Caenorhabditis elegans: one gene and its partner. The protein of the gene in region 1 interacts with the protein of each later gene in a biochemical or structural test. Each region holds a gene or a part of one and is shown in the gene's direction. Other genes may lie near its edges.

What was found. Proteins that work in one complex are often made in the same cells at the same time.
Region 2: the proteins of eor-1 (region 1) and eor-2 form a complex in vitro, tested with the Caenorhabditis elegans proteins (one study listed by BioGRID).

The regions. Positions count from the first base shown.
Region 1 is NC_003282.8:4,793,161-4,800,971, reverse strand, and holds eor-1 (Zinc finger protein), read left to right. Parts: upstream 1-1,784; 5' UTR 1,785-1,795; coding exon 1,796-1,877; intron 1,878-1,938; coding exon 1,939-2,219; intron 2,220-2,274; coding exon 2,275-2,388; intron 2,389-2,446; coding exon 2,447-2,589; intron 2,590-2,634; coding exon 2,635-2,808; intron 2,809-2,863; coding exon 2,864-3,121; intron 3,122-3,169; coding exon 3,170-3,243; intron 3,244-3,345; coding exon 3,346-3,530; intron 3,531-4,304; coding exon 4,305-4,503; intron 4,504-4,559; exon of another isoform or gene 4,560-4,708; intron 4,709-4,959; coding exon 4,960-5,143; intron 5,144-5,352; coding exon 5,353-5,453; intron 5,454-6,104; coding exon 6,105-6,313; intron 6,314-6,363; coding exon 6,364-6,546; intron 6,547-6,975; coding exon 6,976-7,265; intron 7,266-7,327; coding exon 7,328-7,580; 3' UTR 7,581-7,778; downstream 7,779-7,811. Other genes in the region: dpf-7 (Dipeptidyl Peptidase Four (IV) family), read left to right, coding at 1-229, 434-572, 620-736, 1,023-1,373.
Region 2 is NC_003284.9:14,601,352-14,609,085, forward strand, and holds eor-2 (EOR-2), read left to right. Parts: upstream 1-1,713; 5' UTR 1,714-1,740; coding exon 1,741-1,810; intron 1,811-1,897; coding exon 1,898-2,028; intron 2,029-2,242; coding exon 2,243-2,413; intron 2,414-2,505; coding exon 2,506-2,604; intron 2,605-2,659; coding exon of another isoform or gene 2,660-2,665; coding exon 2,666-3,088; intron 3,089-3,237; coding exon 3,238-3,397; intron 3,398-3,517; coding exon 3,518-3,562; intron 3,563-4,286; coding exon 4,287-4,375; intron 4,376-4,420; coding exon 4,421-4,727; intron 4,728-4,780; coding exon 4,781-5,075; intron 5,076-5,277; coding exon 5,278-5,407; intron 5,408-5,458; coding exon 5,459-5,602; intron 5,603-5,651; coding exon 5,652-5,820; intron 5,821-5,873; coding exon 5,874-6,011; intron 6,012-6,500; coding exon 6,501-6,667; intron 6,668-6,836; coding exon 6,837-7,070; intron 7,071-7,127; coding exon 7,128-7,274; 3' UTR 7,275-7,303; downstream 7,304-7,734.

The DNA.
Region 1 (7,811 bases):
GGCATTCTCAATTGGGCTCACAAAGTGATGGTAAATTCACGGCATCGCTGTTATGCACACACAAGCCAGAAAACGATACGATTCACAATTTTCACATTTATCCAATGAGTTTTCAAAAAATTGGCAATTCTGCGATACTCTACATGTTGCCGGAATGTGTTTCTCCCGGATCGAAGTTCCCGCTGGTCGTGGTCCCCTTTTCCGGATTAGAACCTAATTTCACCGTTAGGTAGATTTTTTTTCTTTAGACTCAAAATTTATTGAAAAATCAACAAAAAAAGCATCGAAAGAATTGCAAAATTCACGGATCGAGCTTTCAATTTCAACCGCAATTTTCTATCTTTATTTTTTTAATTTAAAAATGTTCAAATAGCAATTTTCCCTGTTTATAAAGAATTGATTTATAAATTTAAAATTAAATTTAAATTTTCAGTACCGTTGACCCTGTGCTCTCTACAATGGTAACTTGTGGCTTCTGTGTGCTAGTTGTAAACTATCGGGAGCCATTTATAGCAATTCCAGGAACCTGCTTTCCAAAGAATTGTGGTTCGGAATGTATTAATGATGTTCATGTAGAGAATCGTTCGTTTTTTTCCTCATTTTATGATTTTTTTTACAGGAAACTGTACTAGAAGTTCTCGAGAGACACGGAGCGCGGTTAGATGAAAAATATATTTACTTGTATGGATTTGAATTTGGATCTTTTGTGGCGTGTAGTCTGATTATCAAACATAAGGTGGGATATTACATCGACGCGAGATTCTGCGATTTTTGGTGAAAAATACAATACCCGGTTTCGACACGACATGTTTTCTTCAGAAATATTTTGAAAGTTTTATTGATAGATCCGTCAGTTTTGCGACATTATAGTTAAAAAAAAACAAAGTCTCTGATTTCGGTACTCCACCTTTAACTTTCAAAAAATGTCGTGTCGTTACCCCGATATTTTTCTATTTTTGGCACGAAAATCACAAAATTTAGCGTCTCATGGATTTTCATATTTTTTAATTCACTATTTTCAGAAATTCTATAAAGGATGTGCACTCGTACGGCCGATGCTCGAATTTCCATTCACAACGTGTGCAGTTGATACAGAAAACCCTGAAGCTGAATTTCTGAAAGACGTGGAGCCGGTCTCACATGCGTCTGAAATTGTTACTCCGATGTTGATTGTTCTGGAGAATAAAAGCGATACAAAGTACAAAGATTTTGAGTCTACAATTCACAATAATGGCGTTCCGTGTTTTGGAGAATACGAAGAAGAAGACGAACAAGTGAATGATTTCGTTGTGAAAGTCATTCAATTTTATAGAACACCATATGGAGAATACGAGAATGGTTCTAGAATTGAAACGCCGGTTCCTGATGATTAATTATTTATTTTTTCTTTCTTGAATTATTACTAACTTATATTGTTAATTCATTAAAAAAACGCCGATTAGAACAATGTCTACATCAGCTTTAATTCGTTGTTAAAATATGTTACAAATTGGAATTTCGCTCAGTTTTAAATTTTTTATGTGTCGTTATGCTCAGATATATATTTTCTTTTTTTGAAATCTCGAATAAAATTTGAATTTCGTTAAATATATAACTATCGTTAAAAATCCATTGAAATAATATTTGCAAATCGATAATCTTTTAGATTGTTCAGTAGAGCGCGTCTGCACACTCCTCACCCGATTTGAATCGGAGCATTTATTCTAAGTTTATTGACGTCTTCCTCGATAAAATGTGAGTTTCCCATCGAATAAATTATAAAATCGCAATGAAAATTATTTCAATTTAATTTCAGATGACATTAGTAGCTAGTTCCGAAAACACAGGGCTCTGTCCAATGACATTTGATGATAGTTCTGGGCAAACCAGTCATATGTGTAAGAGTTTTGTATTTAATTCAATCTTGGCTTGATAATTAAATTAACTTTTATTTTTCAGTGTTCCAACGATTACAATATCAACGAAAAACCGGCCGATTTTGTGATGTGGAAATTGTTGTTCAAAACAAATCATTTGCGGCTCATCGAAACATTTTAGCAGCTCACAGTCCATATTTTGACGCAATTTTCAAATATTGCAAAATCACAAAGGAACAGCTCACAATAAATAGCAAATCTCCACAAGTTTTCGAGTTATTCCTCAATTATATGTACAGTGGAACAGTGATTATCGATCGATCAAGTGTTTCGGAGCTATTGAGATTTGCAAATAATTTTCTGGTAATATTATTGATTTTTCGATCGACTATTCCTGCTATAATTCCGTTTTTTTCAGATAGTGAAGCTAAAAGTGTATTGTGCAGCTTATTTGGATCGATATCTAGACGCGGCCAATTGCTTATCAATACGAACGTTAGCTCAGAGATATAATCTACCAGGACTTGTGAAAGTAAGAATTTGAATTTTTAAAGCTTTAAAAGCGAGAAACTTCGAATTTCTTTTTTCAGTCTGCTACAGACTACTTTGACAGCAATCTTAATCGATGTTTACTGGAATCCAGAGATATAATTGGTTACACGTATACACAACTGACAAGACTCATTGGAGATCCGAAATACGTGGATTGTATTACTTCTGACACTTATTTAAAGTGAGTTTTTTCGTTCCAAAATGACTAAAACAGTAATTTTTTCAGATTAATAGTCCGCTGGGTCGGTGAAGAAGTATCGAAGCGAGAGGAAATCTTCCGATTACTACTAGAATCCTGCGAATTTCGAGAAGTTTCAGCTGACACACTGGAATTTCTTCTGGATTACTCGCCGTTGCTATCGAAAAGTCAGAAAAGTCGATTTTTGCTACTACATGTCATGTAAGTGGAGTTGTTAAAGTTTACAAAATTATTACTGATGAAATAATTTTTGTAGGGAAACAAATAACATGCTTATGGAAAAGTACTCGACTCAACTGAGCAGTCTTCGTCAGAAAATCGTTGATCTTCCGATTCTCCACGATCCATCTCAATTTGAAGATGATATTTATGATTCAAGTGATTCTGAAGAGGATCCAGATGATTATATAGCTGATGGACATCCAACATCTGCACAAGTTGTTGAATACGGAAATGATGTTAATAATCGACTGAAAATGAAGATTGCATTCCAGCCGGGAAATGAGAAGAAGCGGTTAGTGATTATATGAAAAAATTGATAAAATTCAATGGAAAATTTTAGATTAAAACGACCAAAAGGAATGAAAAAACATCATTTGCACCCAATTCCACCGATTAATGCGACGGAAAATGAAAGTGAGCTGGTTTTTTTTCTCAAAAAAAAAGGGATTTTGTGAAATTGTAAAATCAAAAATTGAAGAAATCTTCTGTCAAATTCCTTATCAATAAAATTTCCAGGTATTCCATGGATCGACGAAGACGAAATTGATGGTGTATATGCTACATGTTCATTGGAAGGATGTCATACCTATGGACCAGTTGACAATTTGGATCCAGATGATTGTGAAGATGAAGAAGATCAACCTGATGAGAATGGACCGTCCACTTGTATTTTCTGTGGACTGCGGACTGCAAATGAGGAGGTATTGACAAAAAATAAATCAATTAAAACCTTGAAAAAATGCGAAAAAAATATTATTTTTCTCAAATTTAAACCGTCAATATGATTTATTCTATTTTTAGACGTCAAAAAGGTCTCGACACACCGAACAATGGGCTACAGTAACCTGTTGTCGGTGTGGTGAGACCTGACCAGATTTTGGCGAAAATTTCATATTTTGGCGTTTATTTAATATACAAAACTCGACACGACGATTTTTGGCTACATCAAGAAAATTTACGCCTTTAAAGATTACTGTATTTTCAATCTGAGGAGTTTTTATCGATTATTTTTAGTTTTTCGATAAAATATATTTATTTATCAACCAAATATTCCGAAATTTAAATAGTTTTTAAAAAGCTTAAATTTTAGAAAAAAAAACTATGAAAAATCAACAAAAACACCGTACAGTAATCTTTAAAGGCGCATAATTGTTTTCGGTTCTAACGAAAATTTGTCGTGTCGAGACCAGGCTCGAAAATTGCAAATTTTTGTGTCTATATAATATATATCTTTAAAAATATTTTTTTAAAGAATTACAGCACAATTTGGAAACTTTCATGCATAATTTATTTTTTTAAAAATATTTTGATGTAAAGTTCCATATTTTGGGAAAATGTAAAAACAAACTCGTGTACGAACGATCTTCTGCTGGTTTTATGAGTTTTATGTTCCAAAAAACCAAAAAAAAAAAAAAACCAGAAAAGTGTTGTAAAATATTTCGATCGATTCTTCAACAATTTCCTCATATTTTCAGCTTCTCGAAAAGCACAAAGCTCGTCATCACAATCGCAATACGTATTATATGTGTCATTTATGTGAATTTGAAACCAATTGGAGCAAACAATTCTATCTTCATTGTGCTGAGCACTGGACAGAGATACCGTATCGATGTGAAACGTGTCCGTTCACTTCAAATGAGATACAAGAGTTTTTGACCCATAGGCTTCAGCATAGTGAGTTTTTACAAAAATTTTGGAAAAAAACGTACATTTTTTAATTTTGAAAAAAAAACTCTTTTTTTTTGAAACTACAAAAAAATTAAATGTATTTTCAGATAAATCGTTTCTTTTTCTGAAATTCACAATGTTTCTTGAAATATAAACCTATTTTCATTTAAAAAACCAAATTATGAAAATTAATTTTTGTAAAAAAATTGATCGATAATGTTTTTTTCATATTTTCAGAATTTACCAACAATATCAATTTAAATTTTTAATTAATCTCCAAAAAATCGAATGAATAGCTAAGCTTTCAATTTTCTGTTTTTTTTTTAAATTTACCATCAGACACACGTTGACTTTGCCGAAGGAAACACATTAAAACCGAAAAAAAACGGCTGAATAAAATTGTTTTCCAAAATTACTTTCTAAAAGAAACAAAAAAACCCTCTAAAATTGTCAAATTTTCAGCCGACGAGCGTTTCTTCAAATGCGGTGAATGTGCATGGAAAGGTCGAACTCGTTCTCAACTGTTTGCTCACGAACGAATGCATTCTGTACTCGATGATCGATCATTACACTGTGAAGAGTGTGGAAGAGGATTCCAACAGCATAGTACATTGGATCATCATGTTGCTAGTCATAATGATCCTAGGTAAGTTTTTACTATGAAATTTCGAGATCTGAAAGTTAATAATGTGCGAATTTGAAATAAAAAACCATGCAAGATCTGATTTTGAGGCAATTCCAATTTTGCTAGTAACGTTTGGAGGCAATAATAATAATTGTCTCAAAACCAAACAAGGCGACTTTTATTCAAATTCAGAATTTTCACAATTTCCATCAAATTCTTCCAAATTTCAGGCCTTATATCTGTGAGGATTGCGGTTTCGCCACCAAAACCGCCGATCATCTTTCCCTTCATCGTCGTCAACATACTGGAGACAATTTTAGCTGTCACATTGGTCAGTTTGTATTTCCTGTAACACCACGCATTGGAATACACTGAATGCCAGAATAGTTCCGTTATCACCTGCCAACCGATCCATCATTTGGATGACTTTTGCGCAGTTCACTTCTACTTTTTTCCAACCAAAAACCCCCCTCGCTGCGTCTCCTTATCACCCGTACTATTCCATTAATTTTCGTTTCTCCTTGGCGACACAGCGCCGCCTTTTCCGCACAAAAAATGGTCGAAAAAACGAAAGAAAACGGCGGCTGAAGATAGAAACAGTGGTTAGATCATCTGTGGATCATATCACTTTCACTTTTTTTTTCTGCCGAACACACACTGGGGTACTGTAGGTATTTGGTAATGGTTTTATCGTCGCGCTCGACATAAAATCATTTCGACGTGTTTCATTAGTTTTTGCGCTTTTGCAGAGAACTTTTCTCAGAGCTTCTTCTTCTCCAATGCAGGGCCTTTCCCAGCTCGCTTCACGCTGTGCGTAATTTTTTCGAGTTTTTAAACATGGAGTATTGTTTAAACAGCTATGGAGTTGATCTGAGCAATTTTTTGTTATTTTTCCTATAAAATGACATATTTAAAGATCCTGAAAACTACACTATAAAATGACATATTTAAAGATCCTGAAAACATTACTGTTAATTTTCAGCCGGTTGCGACTACTCGTCGACCAAAAAAAGCCAACTGGCGGCCCATCTCCGTACCCACATGGCGGTTCGCGCCCATCTCTGCAAGATCTGTGGCCGTGGATTCATCGAAAAATCACATCTGGTCCGTCACGAGAGGATTCATTTGGAGGAGAAGCCGTTCAAGTGTGATCAGTGTGAATATGCATCTAGTCGGCGTGATAAGCTTAAGGTTTTTGAGCATTTTAGATGATAATTTTTGATAATTTTCATAATTTTTAGGAGCACATCATCAAGCATCACAATTCGGAAGTGCTCACATTCCAAAAGACTCAACGAAGAAAGTATAAGAGACAGAGAATGTTGGCTGCCGCGAGCAATATTGTGAATAATCCGGATGCTCTGTTCCGTCCAATTACTTCTGATGATGCTGTTAGCAATTGGCAGGCTACTAATGACTTTTCGGTAGGTTTATTGAATTAACGAAGAGCCAAGCGACAGAATTTCTGAAATTTCGCCAATTTTTCCTTGTCGAAGCAGCTGAAATATAGTTTCTTTCAAACTATAACCCGTTATTGCATATATTTTCGGTACTAGATCTTGCTTAAATTCGCCGATTTAGGCACTATTAAAGTCAATAAGCATCCAATTTTGGTCATATTATGCCAATATTGATGATTTTTGGATGCCTATCGACTTTAAAAGTGCCTAAATCGGCGAATTTCAGCAAGATCTAGTACCGAAAATATGCAATAACGGGTTATAGTTTAATAGAAACTATATTTCAGCTGCTTCGACAAGGAAAAATTGATGGTTTTTGGGATTTTTGAAAAATCGGCCGTTTGGGGTTATACAAACTTAGAATCTAGAAATTTCTCATTTATCAATTTCCAGACGTACTCTCCGAATCCCAACGATTACGGTGGACCATCAACTTACGGCAACCCTTCATCTCCTCAGCGTGCCTTCTCAGTCGTTCATCCATCTCAACATCAACATCATGCCCAATCACCTGGCTGTATGTCTATGATGAATGTTCCATTACGGGACAATCATCATCAGATGCAGCGACAGGATTCACCGGGAGATTCTGTTGGAGGTGGTCAAGGAGGTGGTGGTGGTGGTGGACCTGAAGGATCAGACAATACACATGGAGTTTTGATGACACCTAACTTGGTGATGAGGTTTGTTACCTGTAAATTTTGCAAAAAGCAGTGCCGCATTAATTCTAAACATTATTTTCCAGATCTCCACATAACCGGAGTGCTGTCCAACCGCAATTCAACAATCTCTCCACAAACTCTGATCCACAACAACAGCAGCAACAACAGCAACTCCGTCCATTCTCACTTCCAACCTACGGACAAATGGATTTGGCTCAGGCGGCTCAACTCCAGCAACTTCAACAACAACTACAAGCAGCCGGGCTTCCACCGACTGGAACCCCGAATAATCAAGATAATTCCAATAATGCATGGAATCCGTGGAATGTACAATAATAAATATAGTCCTGAAACTGCCTAAAACCTCACTTTTGAAAAAACCCCTTTACTATCTTTGCCTTTTCTTGTAACATGTTTCAAATTGTTCTTAATGCCTTCATTTTGATATGTGTATGATCTCCTTGTTTAATGCCTAATTAGTCCTAAATGGTTTTTATGGTTATAAATAAATTTATGAAATTATAGATGACATTTTTAACTGAAACATTGTTTTATTTTTCTTCCAGA
Region 2 (7,734 bases), on another chromosome or scaffold:
ATGTATAAGACTTCTCACTTTAGCCGGTTTAAAAACTACAAATAAAGGTTTTTAGCATTAACGTTTTAAAGCAATTCTCAAAATAATACTGATCTGGAAAATTAATGCAATGGTCTTGTCTTTTTCAATTTCAGGTATTGACTTATTGTTTAACCTTTAAACTTGTAATAAAACAATTTTTACATTTTATTGAAGCACATCAAATCCAAAATTTTATTTATACTGAATGAAAAATGTTTCAACTAGATTTTGTCGAGTTCTGACAGCATAGTTTCGTAGACAAATCAAGAATTTTTAATTTTGCAATAACGTAACATCAAAACAAAATCGTAATTTATTTATTACCAAAACAAAGACGAATTAACTGAATGAATGAAACATGAAAAAGACCTGTATATAACACGTTGCAGATTTCAAACTATGCTGTTTTTTAATCAAAAATACAAATTGTCTTTGTAAAGTGTATCTCCACTAAACGTCTAACCACTGGCAGCAAAAAAATACCTATTTTGAAAATATGGCTATTTTTGTTTCCTCCGTATTGAATTTTTTTTTGAAATTCGAATTTTCCGAGTAGCAAAAAAGTGCCGTACATGAAAAAATATAATTTTTTTTGTTCTTTCAAGTCGATGTACCACCGTCTTTGCAACTACACTATTCACTCCAAAAAAAATCCAAGAAATTTTTTTTTTGCTACCACCATTAAAACGTGTGGAAATTATTTTAGACTGGTTAATTGCGAGTAGCAAAAAAGTGTCCTACCAGAAAAAATAGCAAATTTTCTGTTCTTTCAGGTCGATGTACCACCGTCTTTGTAACTGCGCTATTCATTTCAAAAAACACAAGAAATTTTTTTCAGAATGTTGAACTGGATGCAATAAAAATTTTAAATAATCCACTCTTCGAAATTCCGAAAACAGAACAAGACTTCACTGTGGTGATTTTCATTAAAATCAATATGTGGTAATTTTGTATACTCTCTCTATTTTCTGTTACGGATAAAATAAAAATTGACAACGGAATTTCTGAATTTGAAACATGCATTCAAAAAAAAAAACGATTCCTGTTGGTAACACATATGCACAGCACACTTAAAATGAAACAAACCTGATAAGACATTTTTTAAACTTTTAGGTTCAGTATTTTTGTATTATCTATTTGAAAAGTTACTATTCATTCATTTTTCTTTTTTCCTTAAAATTCTTGTTGCGGATGGAAAAACTAAACCTGAAAATAAATCAAGTGAATACATTAAGCTTTTTCTACTTTTTCCTTACAATGTAATAATTGAAAAGATGCATTTATGAGTTATCGTGATGTCTATTTTTGATTAGTCTCCTGTATTAAAAATCGCGGAAAGCATCAATATGGCCTACGTTTTAAACATCCTCGTCCGTACAGCCACTATCTCTTCCATTACCCTTCATATAATTACACCCGCGTGCCTATTCGCCCTTACACAGTCACTCAGTCCGTCCGTCCAGTCGACTTGTCCTCTTTCTCTGCACTCTCCGATCCTTAACCACTACTCACATGTAAACACACGCGACCGACTGCGATGTGTTCTTTTGCGCCGACCTCCTCTCGCGGACGAAAAATCAATAGGATGGCGGTCATTCGAATTGTGTAACGAAAGCGTTTTTTTTTGCTGCTTTCCGCGTTTTACTAGATTTATTTATAGGTTTGGTTTCCGTATTAATAGCCAATTTGTAGATTATCTAACTGCACTAATGAAATTCGATGGATCAACGTAATCAAAAATCTTTGCTGCCCGACTTTTCGGCAAATGGGTTTTCCGGGCAGTTTAATGGTAAGCAATAAGAAATTAAAAAAAAAAACTTAAAATTTAAAATTTAAAACTTATTGTTAAACTTATTTTATATGCATTTTTATTCAGGAATTCCTCATGGAAATACCAACGCAATTATGTCAACAATTCAGTCGTTGCAAATGCACAGCATGGGCAATCAGTTGTTGCCTCATGGCGATCTCCAAACCGATCTCCAAAATCAGTTTCTTATTGAGCAAGTGAGTTGGAAAATTCTAGCAAAAATATATTCGAGTGACAAAAATGTTAAACTACTCATTTTTGAAAATAAGATAGGATTATAAATCTGACGTGAGCTGTGTATATCATTTTGACTATCTTTGTCGCATACTTTGCACTTGAATTATTATTTTATTTACATAACTTTATTAAAAGCTAGTCGAAACTAAATTTGTATACTTCTTGTTGTTTCAGTTCCAACTAAGAGCAATGCAATCGATGTACAACACTTTTAACAACGGAAACCAGAAGCAACCTCAAGCAAGTCTTACAATGTCGCAGTTCAACTCAATGACTGGGAATGAGCCATCTACCTCAAGCAACGTGTTCTCCGCATCCATTCCAACTACTTCAGGAACACAAATTGTAAGTTGGTTTGTTTCAACCGCTTTTTCTCTTTCTCAAAAAAATTTAATTAAAAAGTAAATTCCGTTCATTTATTCAATGTATAATTTCAGAACGCATCTCAACCTATGATTCCCACCACATCAATGCATAATCTCGCTGTTCAGAGCTCTATGATGCTCGAAAACAAACTAGGACAAAATTTAAATCTAGTAAGTGGCATTGGTTTGGATAATAAATTAATTATATTTAACATGTGTGATAAAGTTTCAGAAAACTACCCAACTCGCACAAACGACCATACCTCAGGCACAAGCTGCTGTTGAAGATTGGATGAAAAACATTTGTGTGGATTCTTTACTCGACCCGAAACAAGCAAAGACACCATCAACAACACCATCTGCACAAGTTTCAGCTGGAACCACATTCAATAGTACTCCAGCAGTATCTTGTGCCACCCCACTGACGGCAACTGTAAGCCTGGCGACTAAACCTTCGGAACCATCTGCTGCTTCGTCTATGCCGACGTCTTCGGAATCGGTGGACGCGACGAAAGGGGACGCGATCGACTTTGATGATGAAGCGCATGATGATGTAGACAATATTTTTGGATTATCACTTTCGGAAAGTGACGTGAGGTCCGGCTCGATGTATCGACGGCCCGATTCGGCGGATCGTGTTCATAGTCCTATTGATGTAAGTGGGAAAGGATGAGTCTGGAAAAAAGAAAATTACAGTTTTCACAAAATTCGTTCAAAACTAAAATGATTGAATGAGTTTCTTTACCTACTATCTTTACAAAAAAAAATTCCAATCAATTTCCATTTTTAGTCAGTCTTTTCTAGTTTACGCCACCCGACTCTCCCCAAGCTGAACTGACATTTGACGAAATATTTGGAATATCAGCACCATCGACATCTGCAAAAGCCGCCACCAAAGAAAAGCCAGTACCGAAACCAAGGAGTGAAATGGTATTTCATGATGTTCCATCCACAAGTAAAGACGGTAAGAGTATATTTTTTAGTAAAACTAATGGGTATTTCGCTTTGAGAAAAATACACTTGTTTGGAATAATGATATACCACAGAAGGAAATTTTTTTCACCGACAATCTTCCCCATTTTAGATATCGCTACAGGGACGCGCGGCAATAAGGAATTTCCGGCAATAGGTAATTTCGGAAATTTCCGCCAACCGGCAATTCCGGCAATTGCCAGTTTCCAAAATTTTCGGCAATTTCGGCAATTGGCGAAATTACCGAAATTGCCAGTTTTCAAAATTTCCGGCAATTCCGGCAATTGGCGAAATTGCCAAAATTGTCTAAATTGCCGGACACGTTCTGCGATTTTCAAACCTAAATATATTTTAATAAAATTGAAAACATTCCACCCCTTTTTGTTAGTATTCGGTTAGTCTTTTTTTTAAAGAAAATGGTCAATCCTTAAAGGAATAAATCATTTTGAGCTTGAAAATAGAAAATTAATGATTAAAATGCATGTTTAGGCTCCTAAATCCTCAAAAAGTATCAAGTTTATTTATATATTTCCGGCAATCGGCAATTCCGGCAATTGCTGGATTTCAAAATTTCCGACAATCGGCAATTTTGGCATATGCCGGTTTATGAATTTTCGACATTCTGAAACTTCGGCAATTGTTGCGCACCCATGTCTCGCTATGTTTTCCTTAACCAGACCTCAATTTTTATGGAATAAATTTTTTTGTAGATGTCTGCAAACCACGTTAAAAAATGTTTATCAAAATGAAATTCATCGTTTTTATTTTTGAATAAACATTCTTCAGACTCAATAATCTCTTTTTAATATCATTTTTAAGTAACTTGTCTTTAGAATTAGTTTTACCAACTCCAAATCACATTAATCAAAACTAAATTACAGCTACTCCACAAAGAGTCCCGAAACCTGCTCCAACCGCTGCATCAAAAGAAGAGGATGACTTTGTCAACAACTTCGTTAAACCACAAAATGTAATCCACATTTACAAAATGTTTTTAAAAATTCAAATGTTTCAGGTTCCTGTGTACAAACAAAAAGCTGCCCTCATGTCCCTTGAAGCAAGAGAAAACGCTCGGAAAGAAGATCCAAACTATGATGCTTTTGAGTTTGAGGATGACGATGATTTCGTGTTTGGTGGGCCTTCGGCAGATTTGAGGCGTGAGCCTGAGCTTACGAAGAAGATTGAACAGAAGGCGAAAAGTGTATACATAACTGGAGTAGGGTTTTCAATTCGAAATGATAAAGAAAAGGAGTATAGTAGTAAGAAATATTATTCCAAACCATCAGCAACTCATCAGCCGAATTTCAATGACACAATTAATGGTAATATTTAACTTTACAATACCATATATTTATATCAAAATTACCTATTTCAGAGAAAGCATTTTTCACGACAGCTGATGAAATTCGTGCTCAAAAAGATCAGCAACTGGTTTGCGCATTCTTAAAACCCGAACAAGTTACCAGCACAGAATGCGTGAGGAATATGAGAAAAGTGACACGAGAAGAGCCAATGCTTCCGAAATTTATAATAAGGGTTGAGCAAGTGCAAAACCAGCATGAAGAACCAATGACTAGAAGGCGATATAAAAGAAAGAAGAACAAAAGTGATAATGACGACTCGGATTTTGAAGATGTGGCGTATAGGAAGAGGAAAACGGCAAAGAAAGTGTAAGTGGAATTTGATTGGGAATGGGAGTCTAGTTATTCTTCATGGCAAATAAAAAAATAAAGTAGGGCTTCCATGCAGGCGCCAAAACGCCTACCGGGAGCGGAACCCAAAAAGTGTCGGGCGCGGCGATAGAACCAAATTTTCAATATGTAGTTTTGAAGAAACTACGACTGTTTCAATTTATGAAAGTCCTATTTTCAGTTACACAATGCACAAAGAAAATGATCCCACTTTTCGACGAACTGTCTTGGACTTTTCAATTGGTCCATGCGTCTCTGATGAAGAAAAGAAGCGCGTCAGCATGTTTGGCCCGGCTGAAGGAATTTTACCCGTGAGCTTGAATTGATCGTTCTGTTTTAATTCCCAATTTGTGTATTATCAGAAAGGAACATATGTAATATGCAAAGCTGACATGCTGAAAGAAGATTGCGCTGTATGGAGAGTTGACAATCAGAATTTACTTCAGAAGTTTCCTCCGTTTAGAGATAGCAAAGCTAATCGACTAGTCTATCGCAGTAGTAGTACGGTAAGATTTGATTTTTGAGAAAGCGCAGCTTATATTTCACAGTTTTCAGTATTCGGGATGGTGCGAACAAATCTCATCACAATACTTCCGGGTCGCTGTGAAAATTATCAAACAGACACGTTCCGAGACAACAGTGGAGCCCGAAGTCCCCCTTGCCGAACTGTTTCCGGCGTCCTCTGTGGAATGGTTCAAGAATCCTGGGACTGTGTTTTTTGAAGGTATTTTGATAATTTTTTTTTGTTTCACCTTCTTTTATAAATAAATGTTGCAGAAGAGACGAAGGTTGAGCCAATAGACGATGATTCAATTTTAACGGAGCCAAGACGAGTCTCCCTAAACACTCTTGTCAACGCGTACCTAACACAGGTGTTTACAAAAACCCACGTGGAAAGCCTCATAGATGATAAAGGTAAGGTGGTTACAGAAGGACTTCTGACACGCTAAGCTTATTTCATTTTGAATGCCCAAAATTCAAATGGAAAATAAAGAACCATATGTTTTCAAAACAATTGTTAAAATTCCTTTAGGTCAATTTACAGAGCGGCGGCTCACTGATGCACATAGTGTTTATAGCATAGAATTGTTTTTTTTTTCTGTTAAAAAATTTGAACGATATCTCAAATAAGGTCTACAGGTTACTGTTCGCCGAAATGATTTTGCGCACAGCTCTGCGGTAGTTTTTGAAAAATTTGTAACAAAATACATGAAGCCTTATCAAGATCAATATGTTTTGAATTTGTTCATGCAAATTATAGCAAACTTTTCAAAATGTGCAAACTTAGAAAACTTCTTGAAATGTAATAAAACGTAGATCACGGCTCCCGTGTAACATAATATCACAAAAGAAAAATCAAAAAATAAAATGTTTGAATTCGATTAAAACTCGCCACTTTTTCAGATTGGACCTATTCTCGTTCAATAGCAGAACTCGAAACCAACAACAAACAATGCGAAGGGCTGATCAAAAAACGCATACCTGTCGAGCCGAAACACAATCGATGGATTGCGAAATACACTAGATTGGCCATATCAAAATCATCATTTCACTGCTTTACAAAGTGTCAGGTACAGTAAATATAATAAGATAGGGAAAGGAAGAACATCTAGTTGATTGTTCATTGTTTGCTACAGAATATGCAGAATATTGGAAATAGTGGTTAGTTGACATAAATTATATGATTTAGAAACTGATCATCAAAACGAATGAAGTCTATACAACTGTGTGTTTTTGCAGATTTGCAAACGGAAAAAGCCGCGGAGAGTGATTCACTTTTTCGACAAAACATCTTGCAATGAAAAACTGCTTGTGGAGAATCTATCAAGCGATATCCATGATGAAAATGAAGACGATGAAGAATATCCAATTGTATCTGATGCGATATCGTGTGGTCGGTGTTCAATGGCAGTTGACTTTCTTCACCGCATGCATCATATTAAATTCCATATGCTTAGGATATGTGAGGATAAGGTAATTAATTTAAATTTTAAAACAGTGTTATGAAGCTAATTCGGTTCTTTTTTACAGCTAGAAGAAATTGGTACATCTGATATCGACTTGACATCCGATAAGATTGTGGAGAAAGCGAAAGCCGACAAAGTCTGGACGCTTGGTGTCATTCAAAAATATTGCGATTTATGGGATCAAGTCCGTTACGAGTTTCGCGATGTGTAATACTGTAATAAACAATTTGAACAACTTTTATAACACATTTTGATTTTCGATTTCTGATTTTTCGACTGATATCCCTGAAAAATAATAGCGAAGAAGAAGAATGTAGTGTTTCTGCGACGGCTGATCACATGGAAACAAATGCTGCGCACTTATTTCTTGAACTTTCCGATTGCCTGTGCTTTTCTTTTCTCATAATTAGTTTTTCAACACAACTTTTGTAAAAAATTTTGTAAGAATTTTTCTGCGTAACATAATTCAATTATATTTTTATTTTTATTTATACGATATTGGCCAAATTTAAAAAAAACAATCCAATGTTTTCGAAAACTGGGCACTTTATCAGAACGTGTTCTGAAATTTTTTTTTTCAAAACTTAAAAAAGGACTATTGTAAGTGTATCAAGACAAAACCCCCACTGAAACAACTTCTTTAAAATAGGCCCATACCAAAAAATAATTTT